Linked DNA regions of Neurospora crassa OR74A. The protein of the gene in region 1 interacts with the protein of each later gene in a pairwise test. Links are inferred from orthologs where the notes say so. Each region holds a gene or a part of one and is shown in the gene's direction. Other genes may lie near its edges.

What was found.
Region 2: the proteins of NCU09552 (region 1) and NCU04378 interact in binary tests that used the Saccharomyces cerevisiae proteins (3 or more experiments, as listed by UniProt). The link is inferred for Neurospora crassa OR74A from reciprocal best matches to the Saccharomyces cerevisiae genes TOF1 and CDC45.

What each region holds. Positions count from the first base shown.
Region 1 is NC_026505.1:4,564,107-4,568,638, reverse strand, and holds the start of NCU09552 (topoisomerase 1-associated factor 1), read left to right. Parts: upstream 1-1,687; 5' UTR 1,688-1,856; coding exon 1,857-1,931; intron 1,932-1,991; coding exon 1,992-4,532. Other genes in the region: NCU09553 (3-hydroxybutyryl CoA dehydrogenase), read right to left, coding at 44-877, 953-1,069. UniProt on the Saccharomyces cerevisiae protein: Forms a fork protection complex (FPC) with CSM3 and which is required for chromosome segregation during meiosis and DNA damage repair. FPC coordinates leading and lagging strand synthesis and moves with the replication fork.
Region 2 is NC_026504.1:3,567,788-3,572,385, reverse strand, and holds the start of NCU04378 (DNA replication initiation factor Cdc45), read left to right. Parts: upstream 1-1,553; 5' UTR 1,554-1,911; coding exon 1,912-2,679; intron 2,680-2,731; coding exon 2,732-4,588; 3' UTR 4,589-4,598. UniProt on the Saccharomyces cerevisiae protein: Required for initiation of chromosomal DNA replication. Acts at the origin of replication. Also has a role in minichromosome maintenance.

The sequences.
Region 1 (4,532 bases):
CCTTGCTAACACACACTCCCCTTCGCATATTCTCGTCAGACATCTATTGGTAGTCATAGAAGCCCTTGCCACTCTTCTTGCCCAACCAGCCAGCATCGACCATGTTGCGCAAGTGCACGCTCGGCCTATACTTGGAATCGCTCGTCTCCTCGTACAATACTTTCATAATAGCCAAACAGGTATCGAGACCGATAAAGTCAGCCAGCTGGAGGGGGCCCATAGGCACGTTGGTGCCGTTCTTCATAATAGCATCGATAGAGTCACGGTCGCCAACGCCAGTCTCCAGGCAGATAATGGCCTCATTGATGTAAGGCATCAAGATGCGGTTAGCCAAGAATCCCGGGCTGTCCTTGGAGATGGAAGGGATCTTGCCCAGCTTCTTGCAAAACTCGACGGCCGTGTCAAGCGTCTCCTGACTGGTCTGCAGACCGCTGATGATCTCGACTCCCTTCTGAACGGGCACGGGGTTCATGAAGTGCGTGGACACGACGCGCGAGCTGTTGGAGGTGTCGTTGGGGTCCTTGGTGGTTGAGGCGGCGATGCGCGTGATGGAGATGGAAGAGGTGTTGGTGGCTAAGATGGCGTGCTTAGGGCAGATCTCGGCCAGCTTGGAGAAGATGTCGAACTTGAGCTTGGGAATCTCAGGCACAGCTTCAATCACAAAATCGACGCTGTCCAGGTCCTCGAGGATGGTGGTGGGCTGGAGGAGCGCGCGGGCGGCGTCCGCCTCATCCTGAGTGATGCGTTGCTTGGCCACATCCTTGCTGAGGAGCTTGTCGGCGAATGCAAGGCCCTTGTCTAGAGACGTTTCAGAGGCATCCACAAGGGTGACGGGGACTCTGGCCTTGGTGGCGGCGACGAGGGCGATGCCCAGGCCCTAAAGGAGAAGGAGGACAAGTCAGCCGTTGCCGTTGTTGAAGACATGGGCATGAATGATATGGGCCGGACTCACCATCTGGCCGGCGCCAACGACACCGAGCCTCTTGACCTCGGCAGCGTTGCGGGCGCATGTCGAGCTGAAGGCGCGAGCGCCCATGGGCAGCTTCTGGACGAGGGTTCTAGCAAGCATTTTGCGAGATCGTCACGGCGAAAGTAAACAAAGCAGACACTGTGACTGAGAGAGACTGAAAGGAAAGGGACAGAAAAATCGGAAGACTACACCTAGGTAGGCAACCAGGGCACCTCTAGAGAATGCGAATGCGACGATGTGAAGTTGTCGGATTCGGTTAACCTCGGCCGTCCTCGTCTCCAACTCGACGTCACAAGCCCGACCCGGGCCACGGGGGGGACATAACATACTGCCGTACAGGAGCTACGGGCGGCTCTAGCCTTTTCTTAGGCGGGGAAAATGGGGTCGGTTTTAGCGCGTATGGAGTACTATGTACGCTACCTAGAGGTACAAGCATGTCGTTCAGGGGGGGCAATTGCGGGCATGATTCCCGCGCCAACTCAAGATCCTCGGCTGTCGTTGATTGCCCGTCCACAGGGGTAACTCCGCAGCTCTCCACGAGGTCGAAATCGGGGTGCACAGGTACTGCTGCAGAGGTATCTCTAGTAGGTAGCTAGGTACATTAGGTACCTACTTACCCAGGTATCTTAAAACAGTCCGACAAAACGCTTGGGGAGATAAGCAGGCCAAGACCAAGATACCACCAATTTCCATTAAAAAGTACGACACGGTCGGCGCGTCTCCCACCACCACAAACGCGTGTCCCGTCCCGACAAAGTGCGCCCGACCAATGCCACCATCCATGCGATAACAAAACGACCTCCAAGACAAGCTGAGAGTTGGGGAGAGTCTGTCTAGTACTCGTATGACTCCGTTCTGGTCTTGGACGCCGTGATTTCTGCGCAAAATGGAGGCCGCAGACATCAACGACGATGTCGTCCATCCGGAAGTGCGGGCGCACATCACCAACCTGGTTTCTGCGGTATGTCCACTTCTGGACTCGTTATATACACGGATGTACTGACTCTGGCGACCCGAATAGCTCGGTGGTTACAGCGCGGACGATGATGGAAGCTACAAGCTCGGTGACGAAGCGCTAGACGTCTTGCGCGACCTGAAGAAATGGATCCGATTCTACGATGAAAAGACCAATCGCATGGACGTCGCCAGATGTCTGGCTGAAGCGAACCTCGTCGGCGGCGATCTGCTCCAGATCCTGACATTATGGCCTCAAAGCGAAACCGACAGCAAGTACAAGGCCCGTATTGCTCTGGCGTGTTTCGAGGTCATGGTGCCCCTTACTTGGCCCATAGAGAAGGAGCGCGCCGAAATGACCATCAACCACCATCGTCACATGCCCGTTCTGCAGCTTGCCCAGCTTGGCTACAAGCGCGCCATCATAAACTTCGATGCGATACCCATCCTCAACACCGCCGTCAGGGTAGCCCTTCCCTCCATGGCCATGCCTATCGGCGAGCGGACACCCCGTGACCAGGCCATCATCAAGCTCATTCTCTTCTTTTTGAGGAACGTTGCCATGATCGCACCCCCGCAAGGTGTCAAATGCGAAGGCGACGAGACACAGGTATCCAGGTCGGCAACCATTGATGCCTTTTCGTATCAAGACATATTTCTCACTCTGCTGACCCTTGCCTCCAACATGGGCGAGGACTTCCGCACCGAAGATGTAGTTATCATGGAAATCATCTTTCATCTTGTAAAAAGAGTTGACCCCAGCTCGCTCTTCGTCAGTGAAAAGCAACTCAACAAAGCCAAGGGGCAAGAGCTGGCATCGGAGATGCGCAAGGAGGCTGCTATGCTAAAATCCTACAACAAAACCACCACCACTCGGCACAGTCGATTTGGGACCATGATCTGGGTGAAACGAGCAGATGGCAAGATGGTGACGGTATCTGGCCAAGAGGCTCTTTTGGACGCAAAAACGCGAGAGAGGAAGATGGATAACTCCAAAACATTCAGACCGCCAAGAAGAGCGAGGAAACCCGAGATGGAGCCCAAGGACCTTGGCCCTCCGGTGACGCTAGATGAAAGAGCTCGTCAGCAGCTGCGATCATTCGTCCAAGACTTCCTCGACTCCGGTTTCAACCCCTTGTTTCTGCACGTGAGGCAATCGATCGATCGGGAGGCATTGCATGCATTGAACCAGCATAAGAGCCAGTTCTTTTACCTTGTCGCCTGGTTCCTCGAAGCCGAGCGGATGCGGAGAAAGGCCAAGAGGGACGAGTCGAAGTCGACGTCCGCAGCCGGAGAGGAGGTGAACAGTTTTAACCTCGTTGCTGCTGTGCTCCAACAGGAAATGTTCGCTTCCATGAATCGTGCGCTTGACCGGTCCTATAGTGATAAGGATTGGCAACTGCTCACGTCCGTCATGCGCTGTTACACCCAGATCTTCCTCACAGTCCAGGAGATGTCAGAGTCTCCCAACGAGGAAGACCAGGAGATTGCCGAAAACACCCTGAGCCGTCTCTTTTACGAGGAGACAACCCACGACCTTATCGCGAATATTGCTCGAACATACAAGGATCAAGGCTTCGAATATCTTGATGCCGCGACCGAGCTTGTCCACACTTTCCTCCGCATTTTAGAAGGTTACTCTAAGCAAAATGTCGATTTGCAGGTGCGCTCACGGAAGCGAGCTCGCCGAAAGAAGAAGGCTGCCAAAGCTGCTGCTGCTGTTGCTGCAGCTAGAGCCGCCGGTGAGGAAGCAGAAGACGTTGGCGTTCCCGAGGACAATGATGCCGATGATTCTGGGGACGATGAGCAACATGCAGAGCGGGTCACTCAGGAGCGCAAGTTCGAGTTTGGGAAATTCGCCATTCGATTCGCTCCCCAGGGTGTTGTCGACACATTTGTCGCCTTCACCAAATTCTACCGGGATTTGAACGACGCACAGCTGAAGCGCGCTCATCGCTACTTCTACCGCGTTGCCTTCAAACTCGAGCTGAGCATCATGCTATTCCGACTAGACATCATCAATCTCTTTTACAACATGGTCCAAGGTCCCGAGCCCCTCGACAAAAGCTCGCCGATGTTCAAGGAATGGGAGGAGCTCTCCAAGCAGATCATTCGGAAATGTGTCAAAAAGCTTCAAGAGCGGCCTGCGTTGTTCACCGAGTTGCTCTTTTCCAAGATTGGCAGCACGACGCACTTCCTTGAGCACGGCTATGAGAAGCCTGTCACCACAACTACGCCACGACCTGGTGCCGAGCTGGAGTTCAAGCGAGCCACAGAGCGCGACGAGCAGATTGGCATTGCGGTCAGCGTACTCATCGACAAACAGCAAGTCGAGCATCTGCAGTGGCTCAAGGATCAGCTGACAAGTGCAATGAGTGAGCGGCAAGCATGGGAGAACGTAGACAAGGCCATGGCAGCCACTACCGAGGGGGCGGCTGATGGTGAAGCTGCCGACGAGAGATCCAACAAATCAGCACCACCACATATCACGATCCGCCCTGATACCGAGGCTCGCCGCACAGCCATGTTCAAGAACCCGCACCTCCGTCTTCTCATGCGTCTAGTCGGTATGGAGCGTCTCACGCCTACTCTCGACGAGACCCCCGAC
Region 2 (4,598 bases), on another chromosome or scaffold:
TCGCATCAAACAGCAGCTTGCCGATCTATGGGTATACGCTGCAATTTGTTACCGCGTCCAAAAGTAGCGTATATCTGGCAAGGTCTGGCTGGCTACCTGCCCAAGTCCCCGGGTCGCTTCCATGCTTGACTCTAGTGTACACTACTACACGGTAGACGCACCCCAGGGCAACTTACAAACCACAAGTGTTTTGAGAAGCGTGTCGATCACCTCGTTGCTGGGCCCAACCATCAGTCAGTTCCTCTGAACAGCCTCCTTCCTGCTTTGGTCAGTGAAGGCAGAGGAGCGGTCAGGTTGACCGTAGAAAAGCGTGGGCCGCAAGAGTGGCCGCCGTCGTGGCTGGCTTGGCAGGCCGGCTGGCTACTGTAGTAGCACGGATGGAGTGAAATTGAGACTGTCGCCGACGAGACGGGGCGTGGTGTGGGTGTCGTGGTGGATGGCCAGTGTTGTGAGTGGTGTCTGGTGTGCGGCAGTTGTTGTGTTGTGATCCAAGCAATGATGGAAATGTGGATTGACAAAAGAGGGACCAAACTAAACAGAGGAAGAGAAGCGAAGATGGAAGCTGGATTATAGGTCGAATCGGAAATCCGGAGACGCTGATCCGGAATCCAGGATTGGAAAGCACATCGTTAGATGGTCCCTTCCTGTGCTAGGTATTGTACTTCAATCCGCACTCTGCAATTTCGGAATAGTTCATCATCCCCGGTCCGTTCCTTCACCGCGGACCTTTCTGTGGGACATCGATGCCTGTCTGGACACCTACCTATGCTATGGTAGGAGATGGAGTGGAAAGAGCACAGCTGGTCACCCAGGTTGATAAATTAGTTCAGTTCCAGCTGTTGGGCAGCCCCACGGTGACAGTGTTCTCAGATGATTCCACGGCAACTAAAGAGTTCACTAAAATCCAGGGACATCGGCCGGCAGAAATTCTCGTGAAATTCCACGTTCGACCAGGTGGACAAGTTGCAGAAGTGGAAGCTTCTATCGCATTGCTGTCGTGCAGGAACCTTACTGGCCGTTGTTCCGTTGTCCTCTGGGCAGGCATTTGCCGGGCTATGATGTACCTACCTGGTTTACCTTATTACCTACCTACTTACTGTACCAATGCCCGTGCTTCGGTCGAGGGATGGCCGCCCCGGGGTGCCCCTGTGGCCTTGGCTGTCAGCAGCTGCCCTGGGCAATTCCACTTCGCGTTGTACCCCGCCATTTCTTGATATACTACTGTACGCAGTAGGTAGGTAGGTACTTTACCCAGCTCTACAATAGGTACCTCCCGTCTTGCCTGCCCAAAACCCAAAGCCCCACTACAAGTACGTAGAGGTACCTCTAGGTACAAGCAAACTGGTCGCTCCGGCCGCGTCCTTTCACTGCACGCTTTGTGCTGACGCCCCCCCTGCAGTCCACTGCAGTGGTTGATATCTAAGTAATGCACGCTGTGCCCGCCCTGGCACAAAACCACTTTCACAGAGTCGCGTCTCGAAGCGCGTCCGAAGCGCAGCGCTGGTTGGCCGCCCTTCCATGTCAATTAAAGGATCCTGGCCAACATCAACAAAGGAACACTCCTATCAACACCATCATCCCTCGCCCGAATTATTGTCGACCGCGACAACACTATCCGACTGACGTGCATCGCCATCACACCAGTATTTTTTTGCCATCGTATATTTCAAGCTACATAGTCCAGAGCAGAAAGCTCTTAACGCGGGGCAGGCCGCGTCGCGCATCCCCCGTCGGTTTTTTTTCTGCCCAGTGAACAGAGTTCGAAGTTAGTTACCTCGAGTAAACTACAACTGAAGTGTTCCACGCCGGCGAATATCCCACGACGACGTCGCCTCGCCGCCCCGCCTCGACAATCCGTCCCCAGCCGATTTCCCTCGCTGATCCACCCTCGATACCGATTCTCCCTTCGCAATGTATCTCCCTCGACAGCTTATATCAAAACTCTACCTCCACTTGCAAAATACCCGCCATCCACTATCGCCGCCCGTCCTCATCTTGGTCGCTCTCGAAACCGATGCGCTATGTGCCTGCCGTATCCTAACCCAACTTCTCAAACATGACTATATTCCGCACAAGATCCAGCCAGTCGCTGGCTACTCCGACCTCGAACGTGCCGGCACTGAGCTCGTCAGCCCCATGATGGAGACCCGTGGTGGTGCTGGAGGAGTCGTCGTATGCTTGGGAGTGGGTGGTATGGTTGACCTCGGCACAGTTTTGGGACTTGAGCCCGAGGGCGAAGAAAATACCTTTGGGGGTGTAGAGGTGTGGGTGATCGACTCCCATCGCCCGTGGAACTTGGGCAACGTTTTCGGCGGCTTTCCCCTCGAACCAGAGACGCAAGAGGCCAGGACATTCTCTGCGCGAACCCCCATTGGTGTCAATGGCGGCCGGATAGAGCGAGCATACAAACCAGGCAAAGGCGGCATCATTGTCATGGATGACGGCGACATTGAAGATGAGCTCTCCAAGGAACGAGATGCGTATCTGGCGCTAGTGGATATGCCCGAAATCGAAGATGATGGCCGAGACTTGGGCGACAGTGATGAAGACGAAAGCGAGAACGAGGAAGACACGGGCGATACATCGGTTGTTGCAGGCAGAAAGAGGAAATCATGGTCGGACTTCGACGAGGACGATGATGAAGACGACCGACCCAGACAGCGACGAAGAAGCAATTCGGTGAGTACATTCCGATTTCTTCATAGTAATACATCTCTCATGCCAGATACAGTCGAGTCCAATTCCAGATTCGCCTCGACGACCGCAACACCGTGGTCTCATATCTCTACGCGACGATGCCCTATTTTCCAGTGACGCGCTGGAAGCTCCGCCTGCTGCACAACCACCCAGAGGCCCTTCAGCCAACACCCTCCGACGGAGATTGCTACGACTACGACGAGAAAACGAGGGAGTTTTGCGCGAGTACTACCGACTGGGTACATCATATTCGGAGCCCATCTCGTCCATGATGTACTCCCTTGCGTCAGAACTGGGTCGTGAAGACAACGACCTGCTATGGTTAGCGATCGTTGGGGTCACGTCGATGGAGCTGTACGGCCGCTCATCTGCCGGTATTGCGGTAGCAGCTCGCAGGTCAGACGCCCGCATTTCCGGTTGGCTCGGCATGCGTGGTGCGAGAATACGGCAGCTTCTGCGAGACGAGGTCAGACGTCTCAACCCACCAGAGATAGGAAACGGCCGGGTGCTCCCCGAGACGACAGGAATTATCCCAACAACCGCTCGAAGTCCGGAGGATACCAGTATCAGGTTGTCGCCGGAGCCCAAGTTCCTGCTTATTAGGCACTGGAGTTTATACGACAGCATGCTTCACTCACCCTACCTCTTCTCTCGGCTAAAGACGTGGAGCGAGGCTGGCATGAAGCGATTACACAAGCTTCTCGCCAAGATGGGTGTCAGTCTGGTGCAGTGCAAGCAGAGTTATGCCCACATGGACATGATGTTGAAGCGCGAACTTCGCACCAAACTACTAAAATACGCGTCTCTCTACAACCTCGACGAACTTGTCCCGACCATAGACACGGACGGGAAAGATCGTGGAGGTGCCAAAGATGGATGGGGCTTTGTACGCAGTTGGGGTTGGAGGGCAACCCTGAGTGCGCAAGATGTCGGTGTCGTAGTCGGAGCCCTGTTGGAAGTGGGGAAGAACACCACTAGTGCTGATGACCTTCCTGCTGGCCCATCTCAGGATCTTCTCGACGTAGACAACAACCAGAGCCAAAGTGAGGAGTGGATCCCCAGGTTCTGGGAGGCGTATGATGCGCTGGAGGACATCGAGGCCCTTAAGGCTGGCCTTCCCACGGCGCAGTATCTACACAAGGCCATCTTCACCACTGGCACGACAATTTTGAAGAAGAAACAAATATCTCATCTGCGCGCATTTCGCATGTGCGTGGTCAAGGACTCACCAGATGCGACACTCTTCAACCACCCCGGCGCTTTGACCAAGCTAGCGCTCTGGATCGGTGAAGCACTCGCGGAACAGGAAAAAGAAGCCACTGGCGGGAGGCTCGCCCATGGCGGTCGTGGCACACCTCTCGTAGTGGCTAGTCTAGATGACAAGCGCGGAGTGTATGTTGTCGTCGGTACTGGTGGCGGCGGTGGGCCAGACACAAAGTTTCTCGATCGTGAATCGGCCAAGAAGCGAGCCGAAGAAAAAGAGGCCAAAGCTAAAGCCAAGGAGATGCAGAGAAGGATCAAGGAAAAGATCAAGGCCGAGAAGAAGGAGGCCAAGAGAAAGGAAAAAGAAGAGAAAAAGAAAGCCAAGTCCGACGCCGGCGGCGATGAGGACGAGGAGGAGGACAACGAGGAAGATAGTGACGACGACTCGGATCTCTCTGATACGGACTCGGACGACGATGATGAGTCGGACGAAGACGAGGACGAGCTCGATCAGGAACTTGAAAGGGGCTACGGCCTCAACAAATTCGGAACAGCGTTCCAAGACGTGGTGGCGGAGACTAATGCCAGAGTGCGCATCGACAGCTTTGAGCACTGCGTCGTGGAGGTCAAGAAGGAGGATCTTAGTGGCTTCTTGGAAAGTCTCAGCATGAAAGTCGTCATTGGGTGAAGGAAGGAAA